Struthio camelus: one gene and its partners. The protein of the gene in region 1 interacts with the protein of each later gene in a pairwise test. Links are inferred from orthologs where the notes say so. Each region holds a gene or a part of one and is shown on either strand. Other genes may lie near its edges. The genes, in order: EFHC2, CACNB4, CCDC120 and NCDN.

Evidence for each region.
Region 2: the proteins of EFHC2 (region 1) and CACNB4 interact in binary tests that used the Homo sapiens proteins (3 or more experiments, as listed by UniProt). The two-hybrid records come from large-scale screens. The link is inferred for Struthio camelus from reciprocal best matches to the Homo sapiens genes EFHC2 and CACNB4.
Region 3: the proteins of EFHC2 (region 1) and CCDC120 interact in binary tests that used the Homo sapiens proteins (3 or more experiments, as listed by UniProt). The link is inferred for Struthio camelus from reciprocal best matches to the Homo sapiens genes EFHC2 and CCDC120.
Region 4: the proteins of EFHC2 (region 1) and NCDN interact in binary tests that used the Homo sapiens proteins (3 or more experiments, as listed by UniProt). The two-hybrid records come from large-scale screens. The link is inferred for Struthio camelus from reciprocal best matches to the Homo sapiens genes EFHC2 and NCDN.

The regions. Positions count from the first base shown.
Region 1 is NC_090942.1:126,806,785-126,813,934, reverse strand, and holds the start of EFHC2 (EF-hand domain-containing family member C2), read right to left. Parts: upstream 3,005-7,150; 5' UTR 2,811-3,004; coding exon 2,769-2,810; intron 2,448-2,768; exon of another isoform or gene 2,333-2,447; intron 1-2,332. UniProt on the Homo sapiens protein: Microtubule inner protein (MIP) part of the dynein-decorated doublet microtubules (DMTs) in cilia axoneme, which is required for motile cilia beating.
Region 2 is NC_090947.1:44,648,917-44,656,219, reverse strand, and holds the start of CACNB4 (voltage-dependent L-type calcium channel subunit beta-4), read left to right. Parts: upstream 1-4,300; 5' UTR 4,301-4,390; coding exon 4,391-4,399; intron 4,400-4,542; coding exon 4,543-4,626; intron 4,627-7,303. UniProt on the Homo sapiens protein: The beta subunit of voltage-dependent calcium channels contributes to the function of the calcium channel by increasing peak calcium current, shifting the voltage dependencies of activation and inactivation, modulating G protein inhibition and controlling the alpha-1 subunit membrane targeting.
Region 3 is NC_090979.1:318,894-326,874, reverse strand, and holds the start of CCDC120 (coiled-coil domain-containing protein 120), read left to right. Parts: upstream 1-4,975; 5' UTR 4,976-5,114; intron 5,115-5,120; exon of another isoform or gene 5,121-5,676; 5' UTR 5,677-5,720; coding exon 5,721-5,769; intron 5,770-6,405; coding exon 6,406-6,536; intron 6,537-7,255; coding exon 7,256-7,363; intron 7,364-7,962; coding exon 7,963-7,981. Other genes in the region: TFE3 (transcription factor E3), read right to left, coding at 1-25, 563-662, 977-1,078, 1,230-1,424, 1,774-2,041, 2,508-2,696, 4,129-4,259. UniProt on the Homo sapiens protein: Centriolar protein required for centriole subdistal appendage assembly and microtubule anchoring in interphase cells. Together with CCDC68, cooperate with subdistal appendage components ODF2, NIN and CEP170 for hierarchical subdistal appendage assembly.
Region 4 is NC_090964.1:9,874,447-9,881,936, forward strand, and holds the start of NCDN (neurochondrin), read left to right. Parts: upstream 1-4,480; 5' UTR 4,481-4,580; coding exon of another isoform or gene 4,581-4,732; 5' UTR 4,733-5,073; exon of another isoform or gene 5,074-5,446; intron 5,447-5,566; exon of another isoform or gene 5,567-5,801; intron 5,802-5,842; exon of another isoform or gene 5,843-6,004; intron 6,005-6,462; 5' UTR 6,463-6,476; coding exon 6,477-6,599; intron 6,600-7,075; coding exon 7,076-7,490. Other genes in the region: KIAA0319L (dyslexia-associated protein KIAA0319-like protein homolog), read right to left, coding at 4,131-4,297, 4,581-4,732. UniProt on the Homo sapiens protein: Probably involved in signal transduction in the nervous system, via increasing cell surface localization of GRM5/mGluR5 and positively regulating its signaling. Required for the spatial learning process.

The DNA of each region.
Region 1 (7,150 bases):
AGAGCTGTGAAAGGATTTCTCAGTCCCCATTTGCAAAAGCCAATCCCTATTGCCATCAAATTAGACTCCTTGTTCCTAACTACCTTAAAGCTCAGTTTCCAGAAAAGTCACAGTCTCCTTACTAAGCACCTCCAGGTTAGACAAAATGGATATATCCACCTCTCCCCCTGCCTTCCTTCTTCATAGGCCCTCCTTCTTTGTAGGCCTATGTAAGAGGCAGGTGGAAGCATTAGAGGAAGACAAACAAAGATTTTGGCAGTAGTAGGCGCCGTGATAAGAGCTAGAGTGGAATTAATACTCATAATTATAAAGCGAGAACTGACAGGAACAGCAGTCACCTGTCCCCTGCCCTTCCTTCTTAAAGGAATACTTTGCCACTACTACTCCTGTGTTATATATGAGGCACTGATGGCAATGCCCAGATTACTAACAGATGTAAATACTTTTTTCCTATTCAGTGTATCTGTAGTAGACAAAAATTTTTTTCTTTAAATGTGTACTTCTTGGACCCTCATTAGTGGAACAATATAAAAAAAAAATCCAACAGCCAACAACTGAAGAAAGCAATAGAAATGCTTTTCAAGAGAGGGCAATGGTCAGTATTAACTCTACTGTAGCAAGGACTGCACAAAAAGAGCAATTTGGAGCCCTAAGAACAGTATAAGCATGGTTTTACAGTACCTTTAGCTCTCATAACATACATGTTTTGAGACTTATGTAATTCAGCATGGAGTGTCCTTCACTATACATAAGTAATTTTTCTCAAGCATATGAAGCCAAGCACTAAGCCATACCTCCAGAAATAGAGACATAATGGAGACAAAACCAACTCATTGCTGCTGTGGAGCTCCAGCAACAACTCCATCACACTCCATAAACTCCCTATCAATTAAGGTCAAATGAAGTCTGCAGAACAATAAAGTCCTGGGTAACACAGCTGAGCTATTCTTCTTCCATCCAGCACCTCACAATGGTACACATCTATTTCAATGTTACTCATGTGCCCACTTGGCCACTACCTGAAGCATCATATACACAACCAATTTGTTACAGTACAGAATTGAATTCAGCGAGAGAGATAGAGGAAGTGACTTAACAAAGGTTGCCAAGTGAGAAATGTATATGCTTTTAGAGCATCCCCTCGTCTTCTCCAGTAAAAAAAAAAAAAATAAAAGAATCGAGAACAGAACAGAACAGCAACTAGATTCAGTACCTCAGGTAAGAGAAGAACATTATAAAATGGGTAGGAAAATAGGGGCACAGGAGTGAAATTTTCTTATACACATTTTCTAACCACATGTGGACATAGCAACAAAAAGACAAGAGGAGGGCTGCAACTACCAGCAGCCTTTTCTTCTAAATCAACAGCACCCAACCTGCTATTTGTAGGGAATAAGTTGCTTGAAAGATCCTCACTGCTTGTAAGCTGGGCTTCTGCTGCAAGAGGACCTGTGTCTGGGTGCATCCATGCAATGCTGACACACCAAATCTGGCTGAGGAGTCCACATGTGTCTACACAGTTGCACGTTCCCTGTATGAGTACTGTGCAGCAGTGACCTGGGCAGCTACGGTTGCCCCCAGCTGGCAGAGAGGACTGCCAGAGGTTTTACACCGGACTGCACTTAACGTGGATGGATTCATTGCTCATAAAGTGGGCTCCCAGCTACGCTAACAGCACGGGGACATCTCGTATTAAAGGGGTACTGACACGCTCATGGTATCATTGGCATTAACACATGCATCTTGACAAATCATTTTGGAAACTCTATCTGCCTCTGCATCTCACCTCAATTACCTTATTGCCCCCTATAATCTTACTCTTTGAGCAGAACAGACTCAGAAGCCAGCAGCACCTCAGCAGCCAAGCTGCAGAAACTAGGGCTCCGATGCTCACATCATGATCAAAGTGTGAGAACAAGAGATTCCCTCCTGGATACTTTCATTTTAAGATTATTAAGAAAGCCTACTATGTTTCATCTGTCTCCCATAGGCATCAACCACAGTGCCATGCCCAAATTCTTCCTTACCTTCTGCACTATTTAATGATGCAGATGCTATTCAGCAAATTTTTTGCTATTTTTGCTGAACAAGCCTGAAGTAGTGATAGCAACCTTTTTTTTTTGGCGCTATTGCAGCTCACGATAAAAATACAATCTTCTCATATATTCACTGCTATGAGTACTTAATAGCACTGGCAGTTCTGAAAACCACATCATCACTTCTATTTTTTTTCCGCTTTGCAGAAACTTTTCAGTTTATTTACAGCATACTTGTCTCTCCCCACTTCACTTTGTTAGAGATGCGGCAGGAGTTCCAGACATCCAACGCTTACCTATTTGCAACGTATTCCCACTTTTAAATTAAGGAAGAGGGTTCTGATATTTTATATGTATAACAATATCCTGCTTTTCATCTCCTGGATGTGTGAAAGGCTTAAAAAAAAAAGCCTGATTTAAAAAAAAAAAAAAACTTTTAAAAACCACGGCTTTTTAAACTTGTGTGTTCCCCCAGGCCGTGCGTGTCATCATCGCAGGGCACCGCCGGACGCCAGGAGCACCGGGGAACCGCGGCGTGACCGCCGGGGCGGGCCGGGACAGGCCGGGGCGGGCCGGAAACCGCCCGCTCCCCGCCGAGGGGTAAAGCCCGGCGCCTCCCGGCCACAGCGGTCCCCACGGGCAGCGCTCGCTCGCCCGCCCGGCCCGGCCCGGCCCGGCCCGGCGCCCTCCCCGCGGCGGCGGGAAGGGGGATCGGGGGCCGCCGTCACTCACGTTCCGGTCGAAGGAGGCCCCGGGCAGGAGCGGCAGCGCCATCGCCGCCCCCTCCTCCGCCGCCGCCACGCGCTGTTGGGGGCTCCGTTGCCCGGAGACCGGCCGCCGACGTCACCGAGGGGCGGAGCGGAAGAAAGTTCCCTTCCCCCCCGCCCGCCCAGCCCAGCCGCCAGGGGGCGGTAGGGGGCCGCCGCGCCCCAGCCCGGGGGGAGGTGCTTGTTCTGGCCCCGCCCATCCCCGCCCCGCCCGGGATCGCCCCGCCCCGCAGCCGTTACCCCTGTCCGGCCGGCGGGGCTGCCCGGTGGCGACCGTTGGGCCGCTAGGGTGGGCGGGGCCGCGCTCGTGAGGGTGGCGGTTCTGGCCCGCCGGGGGGGCGTTGGGGTGTTCGCGGCCGGCCTGTGGCCGGAGTTGGCTCTGACTGCGCGTTTATTTGGCATATGTCGCTGCCGGCTTCTTCGTAAAATCTCCCCCAACTTACCTCCGCCCCAAAGCTGTGTATGCTCTGCGCAGGTATGCGACCCCTCCTTCCCCTGGGCAATCGTGTCTGGCTGAAAAACCACCTCCACCCGAAAGAATTGTGCAGCTAGGGTCACAGAGAGGGGCAGATCCCACCCTGTTTGCCGTTTTCTGCATGGATTAATTTTTAATGTGTGGGTTTTTGTGTTTTTTTTTTTCTTCTTCATTGCATGACTTTTTTATACCGCCTGTTTGACTTCGGGGCCCTGGCGGGTTTGGAGGAGGGGAGATGCTTTTACATGTTTTTGTTTGTTTTTTGCATTTTAGTCCACTGAGAGCAGGAAACTAGGTCAGTGGGTTTTCACTTTCTGGTTTCCCAGTGCTATATTATGCACCTGCATTTGCATTTGTAGTAAGGAAAGGTAAACATTTAAAATACTTTTTAATTGAAAATAAAAGGAACCATCATTTTAATCACATGCACTTCATATAGTGGGTGGTATTACACCCAAATTTAAATTTCAAAGAGAAAATATACTGAGAGTTCCTCACGGATGGCTTGGAAGGGAGGGTTGTTTTTTTCTTTGATAGAACTAACATTTTCCTTGTTAATAAGGGAAAATACATTCCAGATCACCTCCAAAGCATATTCCAGAGACCAGCAACCACGTTATGTTAAGTTCTTCCATTTTGCCTAAAGCTGTTTGTGTATATTTTTCTCTACTGGAAGTATTTTTAACAGAAAAATGAGTTTATGGACAAAATTGTTAGCTGAAACCCAAATATTTCAATTTTGATATGCCATCATGCTGTCTCCGAGGAGCCATACTTCAGTTACTTAATGTCCTTATTCTCATAGATGGAGTGATTCTCCCCTGCCATATTTCATACTCTGTGATGCATCAGACCATGAAATTCCCATAACATATCATCTCTCCTCCCTGGAAGAGAGGCTTGTGGAACAGCATGGGCAACGTATTCAGTCTAAATGAGTCTAGGAGGCACTCCCTCTAAAGCTCCCATGGAGCACTTGTGCAGCGTTTGCTAGCAGAATTGTTCTGTGGTCAGTATATTGTGATATCAAAAATTGCAATTTCGGTTAAAAATTTTCAATTTTTGCCATAAGTTACAAAAAGAGGAAAGAGAGAGAGAGAGAGAAAGAGAGTGAGAAAGAAAGAGGAAAAGGAGGAAGAAAGGAAGGAGCAAAAACAAATTCAGAAAGGCTTATTGCAGGGCATGCAACACTTTCCTGTACTTCAGCAGTGGACCACTTCTGCGTTTCCTGATGTTCTTTGTATGTTCATGTGATCCTCCAATATCCTTTCCAATATGTCTTTATGTATCTAACAAACGTCGTACAGGAGACTGCTGGCATAGTCATAAAAAGTACCTTTCGGCTTGGCAGCTTTCATTAGAAGGAAAGGATCTTCATAAAATGGATCCAAAGCATTTTAGAATGTGCGTGTACGTATATGTCTTTTGGAGATTTTTGAACCAGCATAGCTACTTCTTTATACAGAATCCCCATAAGCCCCATATCACTAATAGTACAGCTTCTCATTTGGGAAAATAACCATCATCAACACACAGTGGTGAAAAATTAGTGTATCTATCTTTGCACCTCACTCTTTCTGTAGAACTAGTATGTCCTGTTTAGTTTTTGTTTCTCATTACATAGCAGGGCAGTTGAAATGCCCGAGTCCTCCTCTGGTATCAATAATAACCAGTTGCAATAAGATTTCAGGCAATACTGCCAGAGGCTACCTGTATGAAAGATGTACAAGGGAAACAGCAGCAGTTTTTTAGGAGGGATACTGAAATACATGGCATCAGCAGAGAGTATGATGCATTTTCAACAGAAAATCCCATGAATCGTCCCTGACTTGTGGGTCAAATTTTCCTGCATAGGAGTACCTTCTGCTTCATCCCATAAAGAAGCTACAGGGAGCTGTGAAGAAGGGAAGCATCCTCCCAGTACACAACAGCATGCTTGCAATGTGATGTTTTCTACCAGACTTCAATCAAGTTTTGCTTTCAGAAGTGGGGGGAGGGGGGAAGTATATCCTACTGAGTCATTTTCTCTTACATTACCTTCCCTTTGGGGTTTCTCTCGCATTGTTATCTTTTTTGTTCCTTGCAGTATTCACTCAAGAATACAGACCAAGTGAAAACAAATTAATTTTAATGTCTTTTCTGGGAAAAATAAAAGTCCTACAGGAAAACCATTTTTGATAAAAGTGTTTTATTAAATGAAGATTGTTAATGACAACAAAGGCAAGCAGTAGGCAATAGTAAATTAACTGTATATTCTGACAGTACTCTTAAGGATAATAGTTACAATGGTGAAAGTACATAAGACAACATTAGTTGTACAGTTAAAGAAGGAAGAAAGCAGGAGGGAAGCTAAAGCTGTAGAAAACATGGAAGATATTATTTCAGTGTTAAAAAGAGATTCAAATCTCTTTTTATTGGAATTGACATTTACTAGCAAACTCCAAATCAGTAAAGGAATTCAAGTTGTAAACTTCTGAGCAAACTACAACTTTCCAGAAAAGGCCTCATTTTGCTCTTTCTGTATGGATTTGACCAAATGTCATTGGCTCCAGACTTCCGGACTCTTAGTCTGTTTGACTTGAGAGGAAGACCAGCTCCAACAAGTACGTTTCATATCTCTCTCTTCTGTGAACTCTTCAGGGAACTGAAACTTCTGTTCCAGTCATGTATTGATTGGAGCTGTGATAAGCACTTTGTTTTTCAGTTAGGATGACATAATATTTCAGAACATGACTCCCTAATTTGTACTTCCTTTACTTCAGAACAAACAGTGATCTGCGCTTGCATCAGGAATGGACATCATTCAAGAGTGTGAAGGGGAAAGACTTATCTTTGCTGGAGTTATGTCAGTTTGCATACACCAGGAAAGTTTGACTGAAATCAGCATTATTTAATTATTTTATTCACTGTAAAGGTATGTTTGTGCTTCGGTCACAGATATTATTTCATCCTCTTCCTGGGACTGGTTTTACAGGCCATGCTGAGGCTGGGCTGCCCAAAATAGGTTGTTCCCAGGCTGCCTAGTTTAAAGTGAATTATGGCCATGCATGGATTATCAGGCAAGCACACACCCAGACTTAAACATAACTGAAACTAACATACACTTAAGTAGGTAACAAAAATTAAGAATGGAAAATTCTTGCCTATTGATACGTTCTTCCTTAGAAAAATGGCAAGCACAAAACAGTCATCGCAGAAATCACACAGAAATAGGAATAGAAGAATTAAGCATGTGCACGCGCGCACACACACGTGCAGAATTGCAGCCCTAACGATAGCTAGTTAACTTAAGAGAAAAAAGGGTAATTCCTGAAGTGGCTATTCACTGCAGTGTAATATGGGTCAACTCATACTATCATTCTTCAAACACAGTGCCATCACAATCAATGAATGATCCTTAGAAATATTGATTCCTTATATTTTGCCATCTCTTTTATTACCTCATTCATTTTGTTTTCACCAGTCAATGAACATGTAGCATTTGAAAATACTTCTTCAAAGGGCACGAAACAACACTCTGACCATAATTTTTAGCTGCAGCTGTGGAGCGCTCCAAACAACCCACACATCCCACACAGGAAAAATCCAGCATCTGTGTGGCATTTATGTGGTCTGTGCTGGCCACGTACCACAAGGTCACTTAGTTTACCATTGCTGCAGTTTTCCACTACCCCAAGAAAGCGAGGTATCAAGCAGTACGTGGCCCATAACCTCTTTCTCTGGTTATACTGCAGAGAATAGGAGAACAGAGAAGCAGTTAGTCCCAGCTTGGTCTCACTGGAAGGTCTCCTTAGCTGGAATGACCTGCCCGTGGCTAATACTCCAGTTCAACAAGTCCTGAAGGCATGCTTGCATGTGAATAGCCTTGTGCG
Region 2 (7,303 bases), on another chromosome or scaffold:
CTCTTTGAATCATTTTGTATTTAAATTTGTGCAATTGGAAGGAAGCTTTTGTCTTTCCTTTTGACATGACATTAATTTGTCTTTATCCTTCCCCGTGAAGTAGCTTAGTATAAATAACACATGTTGCAATACTGAAGTATTTTGATAACTTGTTCCTTGTGTTCTTTAAAAAGAAGAATTAATTTCAATGCTGCTGTTCAAAATTCTTATCGTTGAGGAACTTTTTTGTAAAGAGTTTACTTTGTTCCAAACTGGTATGTAATCAAACTAAATCTTGCTATCATTTATGTAGAGTATCCACGTTTATTAGTAAAGGAGATAAAGGTAGGTATTTTTATTGGATTCAAAGATTTGATCCAACGGAAATATTGAGCAGTATCTTAAATTGCGAGAGCGAGACAGATGTGATTTGATTACATTTAGTTAATTATTTTATGAAATATAAATAATGTATATACTCATTTGTCTGAGATTTTCTACGCAGCTACATATAAGCATACTGTTAAAGCCTGAAATTTTATAAAAGCAGGATCTGCCATTCTGTCATCTCTTATATTCCTTATTCTGTGATATGCAACTTGTAGATAGTGTAAAATAATTTAATTATTAAAATTGTGTATTTAGAGGGTTTTGGTGTTAAAAGGATCTGTTTTTTCTCTTCATACTTCTATACATTATCATATTTATTTTTAAGGCCTGATTGTAACGGAACATGCTGCCAAAGGATTTATCTAACTTCAGATTTCTACATTAGGTTTATACCTACTGTTTTATATCAGGAATCAATGGTAGATAACTTCTGCTTTTTCATATAAACTCTTATTGTTTAACATAGAAGTTTGTGCAACTTTATAATGAGAATTTTATTGTAATATATTTGTTTCATGGGTGTTGAAAATATCAATACTAGATAAACTTTCTTCTAGTATGAGTTTGCAAGCTATTATGTCTAAGTTATAGTCCGCTGAAAGCAACAATTTAATTTGTCTTTAATATCACCATGCAGAGATGTGTTTTGGGAAATCTTAATGTTTCATATAGCCTTGATGTGACTTAGGCATTGTCTATTTAATTTGTTATAGAAATTACAATATTAAAAAATATAATGGGTTCTGTAACAGGTAAACCTTAAAATAATGTTCTGTGTTCATTTTACTTTGGCTTTTCTTTGTAAATGTTGACTCGTGGAATAGCGTAATCCTTCTGAAGGCTGTCCTTTAGCAAGGAGAGCTGGGGGGTCATGACTGTGCTGCAATCTCTTAGTCGTTATTTTCTGATAGGAAGATTTTTCTTTTTTTAATCTATGCATCTTTTCTAAGAAATAATAGGCACTACTCTTGCTTACACTGAACACTGTGATGTGTCTGTTGAATGAATAACTTTTTAGAATTTGTGGCTCTTACCAGTTACATTTTACATGAAGCTAACTGAAACTGTTTTGAATTGGAAAAGATGAAAAATGAAGGAAAGAGAAATGGGGCAGGTTCTGAGCACTCTTGAATTTTCTGTTAGAGTCACTGGAATTGTAGCATCTGCCGATCTGCTAGCTAGTGATCTGGCCCCCAAGGTTACACCATGCCGGAACTTTAAATTCAGATTAAGGTTCCACTTCTGTTTTGTCTGGGGTTTGAGTTGAACATCTGTTGGTTAATAGATGTATCGCAGTTCTTGCAGAAAATCATCCTAAAGAGTTTGCAGCCTTAAGAGTAAAGGGATGTGTTTTATTGGAGTACCCATCTGGCCTCTTGTCTGCAATGTGTGTGCATTGCCTTGTGTGAATAAAGCAAATTTGTTTAACAACACAGGTGAGGAGTTTTCTGTTCATGGCATGGTGAAATCCTTGCCAGAGAGAAGAGGCAGAGGCGACACGAGACGCTGCTGGCAGCGGATGGTTGCGTGAATGTCGCGGCTCCGGCCCTGGCGGACCCTGCTGTGCCCTCCGCTGGCTCTGCCCTCCCCATATTGGCGGTGGCACGTCGGCCACCAGCTCCAGCTCATCCTCTTCCAACCCGGTATCAGCAAAGCTAGTGCTCTGGAAGAGACTCCTTATTTCGGAGCTGTGCTACGTTCCCCTCTGTTGATGAGCTTTTCTAATTGGGAACCAGTGCTCTGTTACCTTTAATTGCCTATAAGCTAGGCTTAGTGTGCGAGAGTGACAATACTGCTACATGTTGGGTGTTAATTGTGGAATCAAAGAGGAACAACTGATAAATACCAGTGCTACTACACTTCACCACAAATGACGTGTTCATATAAACAAATACACTGCTCTTAGGATGTGCAATACAATCAAATTTTAAGAGCCACGATTCATTACGGCTTACAGTGGGTTTTCAAGGAGACGCTAAACAGTCTATCCAAAAATATTTCTAGCACGCACAAAATAACTCCTTATGCTTTGAAGATATCCTCTACTAATGCTGTGAATGGACTCCAACACAATGCATGCACTTGGTAACAACTTATATTAATTATTATTCAGATATTTAAACCATTGTATTCCACCATTCATTTACAACATCCTTTTGAGTTACTAACCCCCATGGCTTCATTTCAGGTCACGTTACACAGTAAATCTACATCTTACCAAAGCAAAGCACTTACTAAATTATTGGCAAAAGCAATACTTAAGCCTTGTTTTTCCTTTCAAATCTCAGCCTAGACATTGCTATGTCTTGCTAAAATGAGAAGGTGACGTGCTTAATTTTCTGGACAGTATCTTAATTTGGGAAGCCAGCCATGTACTCAGGCATGCTAATGTTTAAAGAAAAGTATCCTTCCTAGTGCTGGTTTAATGATTAAACAATTTAAAAAAATCTAATTTAGACTAGAGCGTTCATGACCCACATTCGTCTTGGATAAAGAAACCAGGCTGCCTAATTTCACCCAAGGCATTTGCAAAAATCTACAGTTTGTGTCTACAGCGGGAGAGAAAGACGTGTTTGCTGTGTGCTGCAGGCGTTCCCCAGAGGGGCGCGTGCGCTGCAGGTAGCCGGTGGAGATCACTTTTCAGAGCCTGATTTGGGCCCGTCGCTCAGACGTTTGCCTTGACGCTGCTTTGGTTTCACGCGCCGGTTTCCTTAGCTGCACGAATCCTTGCTGAAAACTGAAGGCTGCAGCGAATGCCTGGGAAGGGATGGCCTACAAACGTAGATAAAGTCGTCACCCCGTGCATTAGAGGAAATGGTAGCGCTTTGATACGTCTGTACGCTTTCCTTCTCTATCCGTTTCCTGGTTAGTTGAAAAAAAATTTTTTTTTGGAGAGGGGGCTGCTCAACGCTGCTTGGTTTAACAGTGAGATCAGCTCATTTCAGTGGGAGGTGCAAGCTACTTGTAGTTAAAGCACAGGAGTGGGAAGCAGGAAAGCCAGGTCCTGTTTCCAATTCTTCCCCAGATTTCCTGCTAAACTTCACGTTAATCACTTAATCTCTGGTTTTATTTTTATTCCTCTGCAAATTGCAGCGCTCTTGATGCATGGCAGTCGGTGCAAATTAGCGCTGTGACGGGTGCTCGGGAAGTGCTAGGTGGCACCGCACGGGAGGCCCAAGGGTGCCCTTTTAAACGGCTGGAATGGTTTCAGCGCCGTTTCAGGTTAAAGAGGTCAAACTGGGTTCACAGTCCAGTACCGGTCCGTAGCATCTGCAGCCTGAGTCTGCCAAGGTGCCGTGCGTGGGACGTGGCGCAACGCAGCTCTCCGGGACGGATGGGGACGATCACCGGTTTGCGCGGCAAAATGAACACCGTCACGTTAGCTACGGCGATGGCCGTTAGTTTACGAGCCCGAATAAATTGCACGGCTTCGCCTAAGCAGACGACGCGGGGGGCTCCCGCCCTGCGCCGAGCTCCGCCAACCTCACCCCGGCTCAGGGCTCAACCGCAGCCCCGGCGTCGACGCTCAGCCGCTATCGCCTCGGCCGGCCCGGCCGCTCCCCCGTGCCTCGGGGACCCCCGGTTTCGGCTGCCCCCCTTCCACCCAGCCAGGGGAAACGGCTTCTCCGCGTGGAGGGGTGCGGGGGTGTCGCCTTGGCGGGGGCCGCTGCCGCCGCTGCCTCAGGGGCCGCGGTTCCCGCCTCGGGCGGCGCCGCCTCAGGGCCCGCGGTTCCCGCCTCAGGGGCCGCCGCCGCCGCCGCCTCAGGGGCCGCGGTTCCCGCCTCAGGGGGCGCCGCCGCCTCAGGGGCCGCGGTTCCCGCCTCGGGCGGCGCCATCTCGCGAGCCGCCCCCCGAGGGGCCGCGCCGCCGCCGCCGCCGCCGGAGGAGCCGCCCGCCGCTCCCGCCCCTCAGGTAGCTCTGCTCCCGCCCTGCCTCCTCCCTCCTCCTCCTCGCCCTGCCCCTCGGCGCGCTCGCTCGCCGGCAGGCAGCAGGCAGCCCCGCCGTGCCGATCCTCGCTGTCATGGCTGCGGTGGGTGCCGCTGCGTGGGGGCGGCCGGGCCGGGTCGGGTCGGGTCGGGGATGGCAGTGCGGGGTGGGGTGGGGTGGGGTGGGGTGGGGTGGGGGGGTCAGGCCGGCGGCGCGACCCTCATGTCTTCGCCTTCCCCGGCGCAGGTGACGAGGGGCACGGCGACGCGCCGCAGCCGCCTGAAGCGCTCCGACGGCAGCACCACCTCCACCAGCTTCATCCTGCGGCAGGTGAGGCCGGGCGCGGCCGCGGGCCGGGCGGGCGCTGCCGGCGGAGCGGCGCGGAGCGGGGCGGGAGCTGCTCGGGGCGCCGCCGCCCCGGCCCCGGCCCGCGCCCTCGGGGCCGCCCCGCGCTGCGCCGCTCCGCGCCGCCCCGAGGGCAGGTCGGCGCCCGGAGCCCGCTGCCCCCACCGGGGGCTGCGCGCAGAGCGCGGTGTGCTTTTTGCGTCTTTATTCCTTATCTTGTGTGTGCGTGTGTGGTTTTGTCCCCCTTGAAATACCTAAAATCGCAACTTATTTTCATACCTGGGGTCAGGCCAGCGTGCTTCACGTTCCCTGCTAAAATCGTGTATATATGCACACGCACACGTATATATCGTATATAATCATATATATATATATTTATGTGTGTGTGTATATGTATGTGTATATATAAAATATATATATTTTTTCTCCTTGCACTGCCTAAAAGTCATTTGGGAGAGCGCTGGGGTTGGTTGCCTCCCCGGCTCGCGCCGCGGAGCGCCCCGGCAGGAGTTCCCGGCCTCTTTCCGCTGGCGGCGTTAGGGAACGGCGCTCTCCTGCGTGGTGAGCCAGCCTTAGTAAACCGTTGGAAACGACTTGAAGACGTCCACGGATAACGTTTATTTGGCTTATTGCGTAGCTTCGTTTTAAATCGCGAGCACAAATCTCCTTGAGGCAGAAGCAAAGTTAGCAAAGTTTGGGGATTTGGACTCGCTCGTGTTCTTCTTTTGTTGTGATCAAAGTGGTTTGTTTTTTTTTTTTTGTTTTTAAGCACTGAGTTTAGGAGGGTTTTTGTGCTGCTGTTAGCACTGCTTTGAGAGCCCCGCTGTGGGGGACCGTGCGGCTCGGGGCCTCGCTCTGTGCGCACAGAAGCTGTGGTTACTCGGTCTCCCTCTGTACCAGATTATCCCCGGCCTCTGGGGGAAGGTGAAACACAGGAGAGCTGGACTTAACGCTGTAAGCCCCGAGTGTCCAAGAATTGCGAGAGGGAGGCCTGAAAAAATCGGTCTGAAGTTAACGATTGCTTTAGAAATTAGGTTTATTGTGTTTGCCTTCCAGTTTCTAAGCCGCAGCTTGCGCTTTGGGCTGGTTTTCTAGGTATTCTCTGTAACAGCGAGGGCAGGAAATACACTTTTCGGAAAGCATGAAAGCTGGGACTTTAGAGGAGTTGAGGATTTTTGAAAAACATGCTTGCAATGCAGCGTCACGAGCACTGGCCTCTCGGTTTGGGGCTTCGGGCTTATTGGTGCTAATTATACAGTTGTCCTGCTTCCCCTGGCGTTGCAGGAGTAACGCTAGCAATTTAGATGAAGCCTCCTGCTAACAGTTACCTTTTCTTTTTCTGTTTCCAGTCTTAGCTCTTGTCTGTTAGCTCTCCCGCGATAAAGTAAAAACTAGTATCCTTAGTCTCACCGAAGCTTTACTTTCTCTCTTAAATGATGCTTGCTGGAGAAACTTTGTTAATTTGCTTTAAAAGTAAATGAGATGAACTGTTTCTGGAGATTATTCCTTTTTACGTACAAAAAATTTACCCGGAGCCTGAACCCGTGTACTCCACAGGCACCCAAATCTCTCAGTGCCATTCGCAGAAATTTAGGCAATTACAAGGAAAGCAGAACTGGGTCCTTGAAAAACCAGGGGCCGCGTGTCATGCGTAGAAGCGTGTTTCGCGCAGGACGTGGAAGTTGTCAGTTGGATTGGTCGGTCAGATAAGGAGATATAAATAACCCCGGCAAGGTTTCTGTGGTGTTCTCCGTTCATCCTTCCAGGCCAAGCCAGAATCGCAGCAATTTCCGACTGGCAGCCAGCCCTCGTTTCCAGCGGAGTCAAGCGCGACGTCACCGTAGCCCCAATGACAGTCGGGATCTGAAGCATAAGGTGGTCTCAGCCAAATAACTTAGAATTGCGACAGTGCTAAATAAATACGCAAGGCGTTTTATCCCCACTTTGTGCGTTGTGGCAGTTCAGCAGATGCTGTGGGCCCTTCTGGAGATGTCCCGAACGGTCTCGTCGGTTGTCAGAAGTGTCATTTGAAGGGGTGGGTTTTGGGTCATACTCGCATAGGCAATTACGGGCTTGATCTTCAGGTTTTTGACCTGCTGGGTTGGTTTCGTTTGTGATTTAGACGGACGCAGTGAGGATAACCGGCTTCACTCCGGAGCAGAGCACGCGGTGTCTGAAGCGCGAGTCCACGGCGTGGGGGTTTTGAGCCCTTGCGTGTGTGAGAGCTCACGCGAGTGCCCGGGAAGGCTGCTGCTTGTGGGCAGGAGCCTGGTTTTCAAACAAACTAGCAAGGTGTCCTATTTGAATTATGCTGCACCTAATACCTTTTTTTGGGGGTTCAAAATACGCTGAAACGTTTCCTGTGCTTGAGACCCTTCTGTGTGTCTCACGTTGCAGGGCTTGGGGTGCTCTGTAAGTACTGTAGTGTGTTTCAACGCATCCGTGTTTGCTGTCTTTGTTTCTGAAACCCCTCCTTGAAGGATTGCTTTATAGTAGATAATACACTAAAGCGGTGCTGCCATATACCTGAGGCCCTTCATTTTGGTCTAATTGAATTATAAATCACAGCTTGTACGTCTTGCATCCTACAGTTTACCGAATTCAAATGGGAACTGAAGTGCGCAAGGATTATTTAGTTGTCCTTTATAGAGCAAGCCCTGTG
Region 3 (7,981 bases), on another chromosome or scaffold:
TTTAGCAGCGCCTTTGCCTCCGTCTCTGGGGGGCAGAAACCGTCATCAGCCCTCCACAGCCAGACCTGCCCCACGGGGACTCCCCCAGGGACCCCAGAGCCCCTCCTACCCCATAGGCACCCCTCAAGACCCCAATGACCCACCTAGATTTCTCCTGCACCACAGAGAACCCCCAGACCCCCAAGGACCCCCCCAGCTGCCTTCCTGCCCCATAGGAGTCCTCTTAGACCCACCTCTGCCCCAGAAGAACCTCCTCCAGACCCCTCCTATCCCTGAGCAACACCCCCTAGACCCCCACTAGACTCCTCCTGCCCCATAGAGACCCCATCCTGCCCCATAGGGCCCCCCAAGAACCCCCACAGCCCTCATCCTGCCCCATAGGAACACCCTCAGACCCCATCTTGCCCCATAGAAAACCTCTAGACATCATCCTGCCCCAAAGGGACCCCCCCCTAGATGGCACCCTATCCCATAGGGGCCTTCCCCAGCCCCTGTCCTCCCCCATAGCGACCCCCAGGGACCCTCCTAGCCCCCATCCTGCCCCACAGGAGCCCCTCCCTACCAGAGAGCTCGGCCTTGACACGGGGCAGCTCGGCAGGACAGGAGCTGCTGCCCCCTGCCGGGGGGCTGAACACCTCCAGGAGGGGCCCGGGGGCGGGGAGCTGAGGGGTGAGGGGGTGGGGTCAGTCGGGCCCTGCCCTCAAGGCCACACCCACCCCTAGCCCCCCCCCCCGACAGGCCCGTGGGGGGGCTGGAATGGGGCTGAGGCCATGCCTCCACTCAGACCACGCCCCTGCCCCTCCCCAGGCCATGCCCCCACCATATATGGACACAGGGTTAACCCCTGAGCCGTCTTCGGTCTCCTTTCCTTATATGGAGCAGCCACACCCCCCCCCCAACCAGCAAGGAGAGGCGTGGCTCTGGCTGGACCAGGCCCCCACGGGCCTTAAAGGGGCAGCGCCACCCCCTCACGCACCGTGCTGGGCAGCTGCAGGCCGCCCTCGGTAGGGCCGTAGCTCAGCAGCTCATCGTTGTAGCTCGACTCCAGGCTGATGATCTCATCGATGACGTCATCGATCTGGGGCAGGAGGCAGAAAGGCGGGGGGGTGTCACAACCCAGCGGAGCCTCCTGATAGGGGTCAGACTACTCCTCCCTAAAATCGCATGAAACTCCCCCAAATCGTGCAAAGCGCTCTCAAATCGTGTGGATCGCCGGGGCGGGCACCCACCTCCTTCTCGGAGCCGGAGCCGATGTGGAGCAGGGCGAGGGGGCTGTGGGGGGCGGCGGGGGCGGCGGGGGGCCCCGGCGGGCTGGGGGGGCCGCCGGCCGCCCGCCCCAGGGCCGAGCTCAGGTACTGGCGCACTTGCTGCCGCTGGGCTGCCCGCAGGTGGTAGCGCGTTGGGTTCTCCAGGTGGGTCTGCACCTGCGCGGGGCTGCGTCACCCCCCGGATCTGGGGGGTGGGGTGGGGCAGGACCCCCAATCCCCCAAATCCAGGTGGCTGGGGGGGCCCTGAGGCCCTGAATTCCCCCCATGCCCCTGCCCTCCCCACTTCCCAGCATGCACCAGGCTCCTCCATTTCCCAGCATGCCTCAGACCTCCAATTTCCCAGCATGTACTGGAGCCATCCCAGTCCTCCTCTATCCCAGCATCCCCTGCCCTCCCATTTTCCCAGCATGCCCCAGTCCTCCCCACCCCAGCATCTCCCATCCTCCCCTATCCCAGCATGCCCCAGCCCCCCACCACCCCACCATGCCGCAGGGCGCCAGCTGACCTTGAGGACCTCGGGGGGCACGTGGGGGGCAGGCCGGGGCAGGGGGGCGCCGACAGCGATGGCGGGCGAGGGGGTGGGGGGCGCGGGGGGCCCTGGCGGCCCCGGGGCGGCCTGGCGCTCCCGCCGCTCCTGCTCCTCCGCCTGCGCCCGCATCAGCTGCTGCCGCAGCAGCACCCGCGACGACATGGCCGCCTCTGGGCCCGGCCCGGGTGTGTCGCTGGGGGGCCCCGACGGCCCGGGGCTGGGGGAGGCCGTTAGTAGAGAGCCTCTGGGGGGGGGGGGAGATGGCTGCTGGGTGTGGCAAGATGGCTGCCGGGTGTGGCAAGATGGCTGCCAAGCGAGACAGGATGGCCATGGTGGGAGGGAAAACGGCCACCATGGGGGGCCAGAGCAGGGAAAATGGCCACCTTGGGGGTCTGTGGGAGGGAAGAGGCTGCCATGGCGGTCTGGGGGGGGGGGAAATGGCTGCCATGGGGGTCTGGGGGCTGGAAATGGCTGTGGGGGGCCTGAGAGCAGACACGGCCACCGAGGAAGGAGGTAGGAGGGCCACAGCGTCCGTGGGGGGCGTGAGTAAAATGGCTGTCTCACATGTGGGGGTGTGGGCAAGATGGCCACCACATGGGGCAAGATGGCAGCGCGCGTGGGGGCGTGGAAAGATGGCCACCACATGGGGCAAGATGGCAGCGCGCATGGGGGCATGGGAAGATGGCCGTCGCGGTGGGGGGCGGGGTTACCTGTGTGGGAGGGGCTGGGTCTTGAGGCAGCAGAAGGCAGCAGGGGTGGGGCCTGGTCCGGGGGCAGGGCCTGGTCCAGGTCCAGGGGCGGGGCCGGGCAGGGCTGGGGGGGAGCCGGGGGGCCCGGGGGGGCCGCGCTCCCACTCGATGTCGGCCACGATCCCCGACTCCGGCAGCGGCGAGCTCACGCTGTGGGGCACGCCTCAGCGCCGCCGCCGCCCCCCTGGTGCCCCCCGGATCCCTCGTAGATCCCCCCCAATCCCTCCATGATCCTTCATCGCTCCCCCATCCCTCCCAGGTCCCTCCTGGGTCTCCCCGCTCCCTCCCAGATCCCCCCAAACACCCCGGTCCTTCATGGATCCTCCTCCAACCACCCCAATCCCTCCCAGATCCCTCTGCTCCCTCCTAGACCCCCCCCCCCCATAATCCCTGGATCCTCTCACATCCGTTTGGATTTCCCTGATACCTCCTGGATCCCCCTGGATCCCTCCTAGTCCCCCCAAATCACCCCCTAGGTCCCCCCAGATCCCTTCTGGGTCCCCCAATCCCCACTTATCCCTCTGGATCCCCCCAATCACCCCAGATCCTCCCAGATCCCTCCTGATCCCCCCAAAGCCTTCCCCTGCCACTCAATCCCCCCAGATCTTCTCTGGATCCCCCTATCCCTTCTGTTCCCTGATACCCTGAGCCCCTCCCCATCCTTCAGCCCCCCTCAGATCCCCAGGGATCCCCCCCCAAATCCTGCTGAACCTCTCCCATCACTGGATCCCCCCGAACCCCCCGCCCTGCAGCACTGCTGGGGATCCCAGGGATCCTGCGACTGGGGGCGGTCCCAGAGGGGCTGGAGGGGTCCCAGGGGATATAGTGACTCAGGAAAGGGTCCCAAGGGGGTCGCAGGGGATCCCCGAGGGGATCAGGGGGACCTAGTGATGGGGGGAGCTCAGGGGGATGCTGGGGGATTTGAGGGGTCCCTGGGGGATCCTGTAGCTGGGAAGGAGGTCTCGAGGGGACCCGGAGGGCCCAGTGAGCGGAGGGACGTGGAAGGATCCCAGGGGAGCCAGTGGCTGAAAAGGGGATCCCGGAGGGGATCGGGGGGTCCTGTGAACAGGGGCGTCCCGGGGATCTGCTGACAGGTGGGGTGGGGTTGGGGGGATCCATGGGGAGCCAGCGACTGGGGAGATGTACTCGGGGGATCGGGGGGGGGGTCTCAGGAGGGATCCAGTGACAAGGGACAGGGGAGTCTTGGGGAATCCAGTGATGGGGAGAGGGGATCCCGGGGGATTGAAGGGGTCCAGTGACAGGGGGTCCCGGTGGGGTCAGGGGGTCCCAGAAGGGATTCAGTGACTGGGGGGTCCCGGGGGGGATCCAGTGACGGGAGAGGCCGGGGGACTGGGGGGATCCAGTGATTGGGGGGGTGCTGAGGGGGTCCCAAGGGGGCTGGGGGGATCCCAGGAGGGATCTAGGGGATCTGCAGGGACCCAGTAACCGAGGGGAGGGTCCGGAGGGGGTCAGGGGTCCCAGGAGGGATCCAGCGATGGGGAGGGGGGATCCAGGGGGACCTGGGGGGATCCAGTGACGGGGGGGTGCCGGGGGGATCCGGGGGCCCCGGCCGCCCGCTCACCTGAGCAGCCGGAGGCCGTCGGGGGCGCTGGGCTCCTCGAGCAGCAGGTAGACAGCGGGGCGGGCGGGGGGCGGCCCCGCTGGGGGGCCGGGGGGCGCCGTCGGGGCCCCCTCGGCCGCCCCGCGGGACATCGCCCCCGCCCCGCGCCCAACGGGCAGCTGCGGGGCTGACAGGAGCGGCGGGGGGCTGCTATGGGGCCAGCATGGCGGCTACGGGGCTGGCAGGGCTGCTGCGGGGCCGGGGCAGCCTCTACAGGGCCAGCGATGGGGCTGGGGGGAGCCTGGAGAGCGAGACCGCCGTGGGGAGGCCCAGGGGGCTGCTATGGGGCTGGGGCCACCATGGGGCAGGAGGAGGCTGCTATGGGGCTGAGGGGTCCCGGGAGGCCACTATGGGGCTGCGGGGGTCCCTGGGGGGCTGCTATGGGGCCGGAGGGGGTCTCGGGAGCTGCCGTGGGGCAGGAGCCTCCAGGGCTGGGCCCGAGCAGGCCAGCGGCAGGAAGTGGCGGGGGGGGGGGGAGCTGGGCAGGAAGTGACATCACGGGGGGGGGACAACAGGGGGGACCCTGAGTGGGGGGAGGCCAGACGCCTGGGCCCCTTCCCCCGGACGCCTGGGCCCACCCGGACGCCTGGGCCCCTCTCCCAGACGCTTGGGTTCCCCCCCACCGTCCTGGTGTCTCAGGCTGCCGCGTCCGCCTGCCCCCCCACGCGTGTGCCCCCCCGCCACCGCCCTGCACACGCGTGTGCGCGCCTGCGCCGTGCCGCCTGCCCGGCCGCCGCCCGCACACGCGTGTCGCACGCCCCGGGCCATGCACCCTCCCCCCCCCGGGACCGGCCGGGGGGGGGCACCGGCCCCCTGACCTCCCCCGGACCTGCAGGCACCACCACCACACGCGTGTGTGACCCCCCCCAGACACGCGTGTGCGACTCCTGGACACGTGTGTGCGCTGCCGCACTCCCTCCCCTCGGCCGGAGCCCCCCCGGGTTGAGGTAAGGGATGGGGGGGGCAGGGGCCCAGGGCATGATGGGATATTGGGGGGTCCCAGGGCATTGTGGGAAGGACTCCCCCCCACTGCCCCATGGATGGGGGGGGCTGGATGCCTGGGTCCCTTTGGGGGGGGGACACCCGGACACTTGGGCCCCTTGCGGGGGGCACCTGGATGCCTGAGTCCCTGAGGGGGGGAACTGACACCCGGACGCCTGGGCCCCTTATGGGGAGGGGGAGAGGGAGGGGTCTTCCAGACACCTAGATCGGGGGGGGGGAGGGGTGACCTGGACGCCTGGGCCCCCGGGGGAGGGGCCTGGCAGGCGGAAGCGGGAGGCGGAAATTGGGAGCCGGGGCGGAGGCGAGGGGGGAGCCGGACACCTGGGTCCCTTCCCCGGACACCTGGGTCCCTTCCCCGGCTGCCTGGGTCCCTTCCCCGGCCGCCTGGGTCCCCCTGGTCTCCTGGGTCTCCCTGGTCTCCCGGGCCCCCCGGACACCTGGGTCCCCTCTCTGGACACCTGGGCCCCTCCCCGGACACCTGGGCCCCCGGTGACGCAGTGGGCGCAGCGCGGCGCGGGGCTCATGGGTGCCGGCCTGCGGCACCCGCCAGCATGGAGGTGAGGGGCCACGTCCTCCCCACCGGCGCCTACAGCCCCACAGGTAGGAACCCCCCGACCCCGCCGTGCCCCCAACCCTCCCCCAGCGTCCCCCCTCCTGCCCCCATGGCGCCCTCTGACCCTGCAGTTGCCCCTTGACCCCACTGTGCCCTCTTGACCTCCAGGGAAACCCCCTGACCTCTGGTGGTGCCCCCCACACCCCCGCTGCCCTCTGACCCTGTGGCGCCCCCTGATCCTGCGGTTGCCCCTTGACCCCTGGCGGTTCCCCCTGACCCCTCTGTGCCCTCTTGACCCCCAGTGGCGGTGCCCCCTGACCTCTGGTGGTGCCCCCTGACCCCTGGGGGTGCCCCTCACACCCCTGCTGCCCTCTGACCTCGTGGTGCCCCCTGACCCCCCCGGCACTGCCCTCAACCTGCAGTGCCCCCTGACCCCCCAGTGCCCTCTGACCCCTGGTGGTGCCCCTTGACCCCCCTGCTGCCCTCTGACCCCCACACGGTGCCCCTTGACCCCCAACCCGACCCCCGTGTCATTCTGTTCTCTGACCTCATGGTGTCCCCTGACCCCTGACTGTGCCCCCCACCCCCCTGCTGCCCTCTGACCCCTTGCTGCCCCTGACCCCTGCCCCCCCGCCCGGGCGGTCGCCATGGTGACGCCACTGACCCTGCGGGGGGGCCGGCAGGCGGCGGGGGCCGGGGGGGGCCGGGGGGGGGCCCGGCCCGGCTGCAGGAGCTGCGCGAGCGGCAGCGGGGGCTGCGCCAGGCCCTGGGGCTGCGGCTGCAGGAGCTGCGACGCCTCTGCCGCCAGGAGGCCGTGAGTGACCCCTGACCCCCCCGCGGGGACCCCAAACCGACCTCCTACCCCAGGATCCCTATGGGCCCCCCAGACCCTCTAGACCCCCTATAGCCCCCCAGCATCCCCATAGGCCCCCCAGACCCCTGCCATAGCCCCCCGACTCCCCAGGACCCCCCCAGCCCCTCTAGACCCCCCACAGCACCCCTCTGGACCCCCCATAACACTCCCAGACCCCCATAGCACCCCTAGGACCCCCATGTGCCCCCCATGACCCCTCCTAGCCCCTCTAGACCCCCCACAGCACCCCCTGGACCCCCCATAGCACCCCCATATCCCCACAGATCCTCCCCAGGACCCCCATGGGCCCCCCTAGAACCCCCCACAGCCCCTCTAGACCCCCCACAGCACCCTCTGGACCCCCCTATAGCACCCCTATATCCCCACAGACCCCCCCCAGGACCCCCCACAGCCCCTCTAGACCCCCCCATAGCACCCTCTGGACCCCCCATAACACCCCCATATCCCCACAACCCCCCCAGAACTCCCATGGGCCCCCCCCAGAACCCCCCCATGACCCCTCTAGACCCCCCACAGCACCCCCGACCCCTATAGCACTCTCAGACCCCTCCAGACTTTCCCAAAGCATCTCCAGACCACCCCAGCACCCCCATGCCCCCTGCCGGACACTTCTAGGGCCCTCCCGGCCCCCTTGACAGCCCCCCGCGCCCCGTGCGCAGGAGCTGACGGGGAAGCTGCCCCCCGAGTATCCCCTGGAGCCGGGCGAGAGGCCCCAACCCCCCCCGCGGCGCCGCGCCGGGGCCCCCCCCCGCGGGCCCCTCACCGAGGTACAGCCTGGGGGGTGCTGGGGGAGCCCTGGGCAGTAAATAAGGAGAACTGGGGGGGGGTAATGGGGGGCCTGGGGGGAGAGAAGGGGGGGGGGTTGGAGCGGTCCTGAGGGGCATTTAGGGGCTGAGGGGCAATGGAGGGGTAACAGGGGCCTGGGGGGGGCAATGGGGGTCTTGGGGGGAAAGAGGGGCTGGGGGCACCCTAGGGGGGTAAATGGGGGTTCGGGGGGGCAACGGGAGTCCAAGGGGGAAATGAGTGGTTGAGGGGGTCCCCTGGGGTCTATGAGGGCCCCGGGCCCCCGTACCGAGCCTTCGTGTCCCACGCGGGCTCCCGTGCCGCCGCACTCCCCCACCCTGGCCACCGTCCCCCCTCCCCCTCCGCGTACCTGCCGGGCCTGGCGTGTCCCTGCCCGGTTACCGTACCCCTTCCGACTCCCTGTCCGGCCACCGTACCCCTCCCGTGTACCTGCCGGGCCTGGCGTGTCCCTGCCCGGTTACCGTACCCCTCCCGTGTCCCTGCCCGGCCGTCGTCCCGCTGCCCCGTGTCCCCGCCCCGCCGCCGCCCCGGGAGGCCCGGCACCCACCGGGCGGCCCCGCAGGCGGCGCGGGCGGCGCGGC
Region 4 (7,490 bases), on another chromosome or scaffold:
GAACAGATTAGCTTGTTTAAAATGAAAAGTGACAGTCAAATTCACGTACCTTTTGCGTAGAATCTCTTGCTACACCAGCAAAAATTTCAACCCAAAATGGGAACTCATACCCCCATGAAGGAGAGTTTGGTTTTGAGACATCAGAAAGGAGGAAGCAGAAGTTTTATTTATAGCTCATGTGTGAGGCCAGCTCAGCAAAGGCAGTCTGCAAACAGAGGGCTACAGAGTGCCAGCATCAGCTGCCACAGAACGCACTTGAGATGTGTGACCTCGCCACTGGGGACCCGTGCGCTCAGTGGGTTTCTGAACCCACAACTGCAAGGAGGGATGAAAAGCTTTTCACTCAAGAAAAGTCCAAATGCAATGTCTACATGAAACATTGCAGGTGCTCAACAGAAAGAGAAGCTCACGACAGCACCTTTAAAACCAGCACCATCCTTGTCACACTTCATCAACATAGAGCCCTTCCTTCGAGAGCAAGAAGTGGCAGCCTGCCTGCCCAGGGCCAACAGCTGACCTCATTACACTCTGAAGTGCTTGGCCTGAGAGTCACCCTGGGATGACACTGTGCACACAGGCAGGGACAGGCAGCTGGCACTAACCTGACGGGTCTGGAGTTGGGACAGAGTACAGGGAATGTATACACACACAAAGATTGGACTTTGGGAAACAAGTTACAAATGGAAGGATAATGCTGTTGCTGTGAATTTCAGAAGGATCTTATCCATTGAGTCAATTTAGTCTAAAAATTCACTTTCTTTTAAAGGTGAAGCACTGTCTCTAATGAACCCTGTGTGAAAGAGAAATACGCTACCCTGCTGTCCACATCTCTAACATTCTTCCTCCTCCTTGACAAATGCTCATCCATGCCTCCTCAGATGTCAGCCCTGGCTCATACATACCATACTAATTAAAGCTTGATACAGAGCCCAGTGAAATTCTTTGGGGGCTTTCTAACAGCAGACTTGGAAGTAAGCACAAAATGGGGCACACTTTAAAAAAAAAAAAAAAAGTACTCCCAGGGAAGACATCCGCTCTGAAAAATCCCTACATATACAAGTGTTAAATGTACTCATCTAAAATCTCAAACCTGAATCACTGTAGGCATCTCCTAGGTGTAACAGAGCCATGCCTACTGTTAAATCAAGGCGCACAGATTTAAATTGCACTTAGTCCAGATTTCATTTCTAAAGCTCTGCTAATGCTCACCTAGAACATGTTTATTTGAAACAAACCAAGATGGTTTCTGAAGTGCTGTATATGGATAGCTTAAAAATGAAATCACAGAAACAAGAGAAGTTAATATGCAAGTCATAATATGCTAGCACAGCACTATAGATGTATTTTTTTCACCCACCATACTAATTTTCATCTACGCAATTCCTGTGGTCTTTGGTGGGCATCACAGATCCACACAACTCTATTTAAAGGGCCATGGCAGAAAGCAAGTCTACACCTGTGTTGCATCTCTGGTCTGCCAGGAAAATTCACCTGGCCTGTTTACACCACACTTCTTTCTGTCCTGCAGGAACACGCTACTGGCTGAAATAATTGTTCTGATGAAAAGCCACCAACTGCTACTTGTAGTCTTCCAGCAGGACCTTCACTAGGTGGACATGTACCTGTAGCAAACGAAAAAAGGCAGCTGTGACTACAGCCAGAGCTACTAATTCAGCCCAGACCCAACTTTGACTGCTCCAGATCTTAAAAAACAAAACAAAACAAAACCATACATGGGGGTGGGGGAGGAAGGTTCACTAGAACCATTAATGCAGCCATCTCCTAGCTGCCTTCTCCAAGAGAGCAGACAGGCATCGCATAGGGCAGGACAGAAGACTGAGCAGCAGCTCTACTTACTATACACAATGTTGGGCATATGACAAGTCAGAGTCACGGCCCTTCGCTGCTATTAAAATAAGCTACATAGCAGAGCAGGAGGAATTGGGCACTACTGGTATAACGCAACATTTGTGGAAAGCTATAAGACAGAGCCACAAACAATCTGTTCAGTCTCTTCTACTTCCTGGTGCTGGACGCTATGCAACAGTGCACAGGATCTTCCGGATTGGTCAGGCTAGCAGAGCAGCAAATCTAGACACTGACAGCATCAGTGCCAGCACCTTCAGAGCAAAGCATAAGAAACCTCCCAGGAGGAATGTCCCTGAGGACAAGTTTTCTCCTAAACCCCAGCAGCCTACCCAGCTTACACAATAAAAATCACCTGACTGTTACAAACTGTGCATACTCAGCCATTTCCAAACAGCTTATTTATTTTAGTATATCAACAGATAAAATGCTGCCCTTCTCAACTTGCAGAGTTCCTGTTCCTGCTGAACAGTAGGTGAATGAAAGGGTTAAGTACAGTTTCTATGAATGAGCTCAGGTTCACAAGCTTATTTTGGCAGTTAATCTGATATCAATAGGCATTAATGATTAAAGGCTCGACTGTATAGGCTTTTTCTAATCTGTTACGTGCAACCAATTATGTCAATATAGTTCCTCTTATGTAAGTCTGCATGATTGCACCGATTTCTAAATAACCATGATTCCTCTTCAGTTTAACTCTGCTGGATAAGTGACTCAGATGAAAACCAAAAGAACATGGACTCCAGCGTGGAAAAAGATCCACGTAAGCAGAGCTATGTCACAAATAATTATATTTGTTTCTATACACACATCAGCCTCCATGGTTCTAACTCTCCCAAGTATACAAGCCCTCAAATGCTGTAGCGCTGTATGGAACACCCTGTTAGCACAACATATGATCTGCAGCTCTTGCTCTAGGCTTCTGAAATATTACTAAAGACAGGAAACACTAAGCAGGAAGTCCAGTTCACAAGGAAACATGCAATCCATCAGATACACCAACAAAACACTAAGTACCGAGCACACTTTGCTAAGAACAGAAATATAAATGCATCTTTCCAGGTTCTAAATCAGTAGATTAAGGTCACACAACTGATTAGCTTAATCAAATCTACCACTTGGTAAGTATCCAGGAAAGCCCAGTGAAACAGGGACTCTGTAGCAGCCTACAACACATCCACCCATGGAGAGAAAAGAATAGGAAAAAAAAAAGAAAAAATAAAGTAAAATCTGCTTTTCATATCATGCTAACATTAAGATGTGGCAACCTTCCAGCAAGGTCAAAGCAGTCGGCAGCTGTCACACAGGTTAATTATATATCGAAGTCACCACTGTCTCAAACCTATAGTTCACCACAATTTGAACAAAACCAAAACACACAGTATAAACTTTCTTATCTTCACTAACATTTGGTAAGTGCTAGGTACACACACGGGAAGAACACATCATCATCTTCGTAAATATTTGGCCCCAAAAGCACTCACAGGAACTTAACACTTCTGTCTGAAAAGTCAGACTCTGAACCTTTTTAATACAAAACCAAAAAGAAACAAAAAAAAAAATCCATCATATGAAAATGTCCATACAAGTCACCAATCTGGTTATTTACTTGGGCAGGAGGATGGTTGCTCAAATTTGGACAGGAAATAAATACCAAGCACAACAATTATGCGTAGGTAAATTCAGATTATTGATACACTGTGTTTGTGGGGAAGTCTTTAATATTAGACTGCTGGAAAACACTCTTGGCTTCTCAAACAAGTTCAAGTATTCCTTAGATGAAATTATTTTCCCAGAATATCGCTTATTCCTTTTGCAAAAAAAAAAAAAAAAAAGAAAACAGATTCTCAGCTGAGCTTTATGCAATGCAGGCAAATGCCTGAGAGCAAACACGAAGCACGAAGAACCCCAACATTAGCTGTATGGAACAGACAGACACTTTACTGCAGACACACTGGTGCTGGCTACTTTGTATTCACAATAGCAGATGGCTATTAGAATGATACAGTGTTATAAAAAGTCCCCTCATCTCTTCACTACCTAGTGTTTTGGATACACTACCTTTTTGATAGCTTATTCAGTAACAAACTGCCAAGATTATTTTACCAGCTACTCTGCCTAACAGCTAATAATTTCACCTTCTTTTCTGAATATTTTTATTAAATGAGAAGGATAAACCTTCTTTTCTGAATATTTTTATTAAATGAGAAGGATAAATATAAATAAAAATAGAGATACAGTCCCAGGGAGAACAGAAAAGTCACCTGTTGAGGAGCACAAGGCACACAGGCAAGCACATAAGTAGAACAGGTGCAGACTTCCCAGATGCCTCGCAGGTTTTCCCAGGCAGTATTGTGATAAAAACCGATTGCCGATGCTGAACTTGACTTCCAACTTTTTCTCCATGGCCTTTGTGGGTAGCAACAGGGCTCTAGAAACACATAAGAAAGAGAAAACACGTATCAGCAATTGGTATGTTTTTGCAAGGACCCAGCCAACAAAGTGATGAGCACGGAACATTTGTGCAGGAAAGGGAATGTCTAATCTTATCTGCTGTGACTTAGTCCAACTGCTGCTAAGGAACTATCAGTATTGCAACACTGAAATGAAACCTGAAGTAGCAAAGTTTCCAGCTGTTCAACTGCAGCACACGACCATCTCAGCCCCATGATCTCCCCTCCAGACCACACCACTTCTGCAGATGGAGCACTAACCGCAAAACATCTAGTACCGTAACACACTGAATTTCAGAGATGCATTCGGGAAACTTCAGTTTCGAATACGCCATGGGCAAGAGGTACCCAGTTGGCTCTGCTAGCATAAGACAGACACTGACAAACCCAGTACAGCTGCTGGGCGATGTCATCAGCTGCACGTCAGTGCTGGCTGGTACCAACCAGAAACAAAGAGAGAAAAGAACACAGCAACGCGGAGAAACAAGCAGCTAAAGAGCTATTTTGCCCTATATTTCGCTCTGCAGGGCACACATGAGGACAGCACTGATGATCGTTCTCAGCGTTTCTAACCCTGATGTGAAACCCAAGCCAGCTAAAGGAGCGCTCAGATTCCTCTGCGGAATGCATGACAGGAAAACAAAGTGTTACAAGAAATAAACACTTCCCGTTTTTCAAGGAGTAGTGGAGCATCATTAGGCACAAGGAATTAGATCGGCCGTTTCTGAAGAATCAACGGGGAACGTTATCGGAGGTCTGATTACTAGTCTACCGTTTAAAAACCCTTTTTCTGTAACGAGAGAACGGGCTCAAGCCCCGGGCAGCGAACAGCGGGAACAGCAGGCTACGCTGACGCCCGCAAGAGACGCGAAAAGCAAATTCCACGGGGCTCGGCGGGGAATAAAGCAAAGCCGCGGGCGTCTGGCCCACGCGTGGCTACGGAAACCGCCCGCGCCCAACTCCTCCGGTTTGTCGCCACCTATTCAAACGAACCCGACGCCCAGCGAGGCGGGAGCGGCCGGCGGGGCCTGCCCGGGCCGCGGCGGGGCGAGGGCGGCGGCGGCACGTACCAGGGGTGCGCGGTGAGGCGGGCGGGGCTGCTGGCGGGCGGCAGGGGGCGGGCGGCGGGGCCGGGGCTCCAGCGCGCCGGGCCGGGGGGCGGCGCGGCCTCCTGCGCCGCGGCCATGGGGGCGGCTGGCGGCGGCGGGCGCCCGCTCACCTCTCACCCGGAAGCGCACCGCCGCCCCTCCGGAAGCGGAAGTGACTCTGCCGGCGCCGCCCCGCCCGCCTCCTGCCAGTGTCGGTGCTCCCGCCGCGAGCCGGCTGCCGCCTCCCGCCAGAGCCGCGGCCACGGGCCACGCGGCGCCGCCGCCGCCGCCTCTCCCACAGCGACCGGGCGAGGGCGGCGCGGCACCGCCGCCGGCGAGCTGCCCACACGCCGCGCGGGGGCGGCGGCGGCTTCGGTGACCGCCTAAGACCGCGGTAGGCGATTGGCCGGCGCCGAGCGCGCGGCCCGCGGATTGGCTGGGAGGCGGGGCGAGGCCCGCGTGCTCCGTGCCCGAGCGGCGGCGGAGGCCGGGGCAGGGGCCGGGATCGGGAACCCATTTTAACCGTATGATCTCTCTCTTTATCAAAGTGCTGATCTGAAATAATTTCCTTTCCTTAGTGCTAGCGTAGGATTCCAGGTATAAAGCTACAGGCCCCTGCAATATCAGATCCAACTATGTCTTCCAAAGCAATCAGTCATAAGACGTCAGACGCTATTTGAAACCTCAAGTTTCAAAACAAGATCCCTGCTGCATGTAGTAGAATGAGTCCTTGATGTCTGCAGCCAACTATTTTTGCAGCTGATTATATGTGTAGCAGCTTGTATGGCTACAGATCTTATTTACTAACCATAAATAATGCAGTTCATCTTAAAATCTAACTACTAGTGTTGATTCCTCAGTCTCCTTTCAGCAAGGACGTTTTCAGGAAGGCACACGTTGAGTAGAGGAGCATTTCTTATTAATATAATTGAATATCTCCTAATTCTCTATGTAGGGGCTAGGGAAGAGCAGAGGATATGCTCATTTTTCACTGCAGCTCTTTTATCTTCCCATCTATTTCTGTTTTGCTAAACGCTGGCTTTCTGCATTTGCAGCTGAACTGATCACCATGGCTTCAAACTCTGGAGCTGCTCCCAGTGCTGAAGGATCCAGAAATTTAACTTTGAAAAGGTGCCTTGATGTGCTCAGGGATGCAAAAAACGACAGCGAGCAGTTTGCAGCCTTGCTTCTGGTAAGAATCTGCTTTGGGATAATGCCACTGAGTGTAATCGCTTCAGAAGAACACAGGCCTGGCTGCTCTCTGATAGACAGCCTGGCTGGAAAAGCAAGTAGAGAAGGCAAAACTTGCTCTTAGCCCGGAGCGTTTGAGATGAGAATGCCTGAGTTTTGTTTTCAGCTGTGCTTGCTGACATGTTGGGAGTTTGGGGGCAAGATGCTTCAAGTGCTTATACCCTGATGTTCCCGCTAGCAAAAGGGACATAGCCTCTCCTTTCCCTGGGTGTCCTGAGCATTAATCAACACCTCTTGAAGCACTCTGGTAAAGCTGTGGATTAGAACTTTGACCAAGTACCCAGCTCAGTGGTCGGGGAATCACTTTTCTGTACAGATGAAAGTTCTTTATGCTTCTTATTTACCTGTTCAACCTTGTAAAGAGCCTTAGCAAAGCCTCTTCTTATGCTGCCCACTCGCCCCTGCTTTATCTTGCAGGTCACCAAAGCAGTCAGAGCAGGAGAAGTAGACTCTAAGACCCGTCGCCAGATCTTTGATGCAATTGGATTCACGTTTCCGAATCGCCTGCTCACCTCCCGGGAGCCCCCGGCAGGCTGCCCAGAGCACATGTTCCAGGCGCTTGGCCTTACCCTGCTGGCGTGTTTCTGCACCGATCCAGAGTTAGCTGGCCACTCCCAGATCCTGAACAAGATCCCAACCTTCAATGACATCCTGGTTTCCCCCTGTAATCCGGACAGTTCATCCATGGTCGATGATGTGTACCAGTGTCTGACTGCTGTCATGGCCACTCCCAGGGGCCCCAAAGAGTTGGTGTCCAAAGGAACAGTGTCTGCCCTCTGCCAGGCCTATGTGAATTGCAGTTATGGCTCTGACCGTGCCTTGCAGCTGCTTA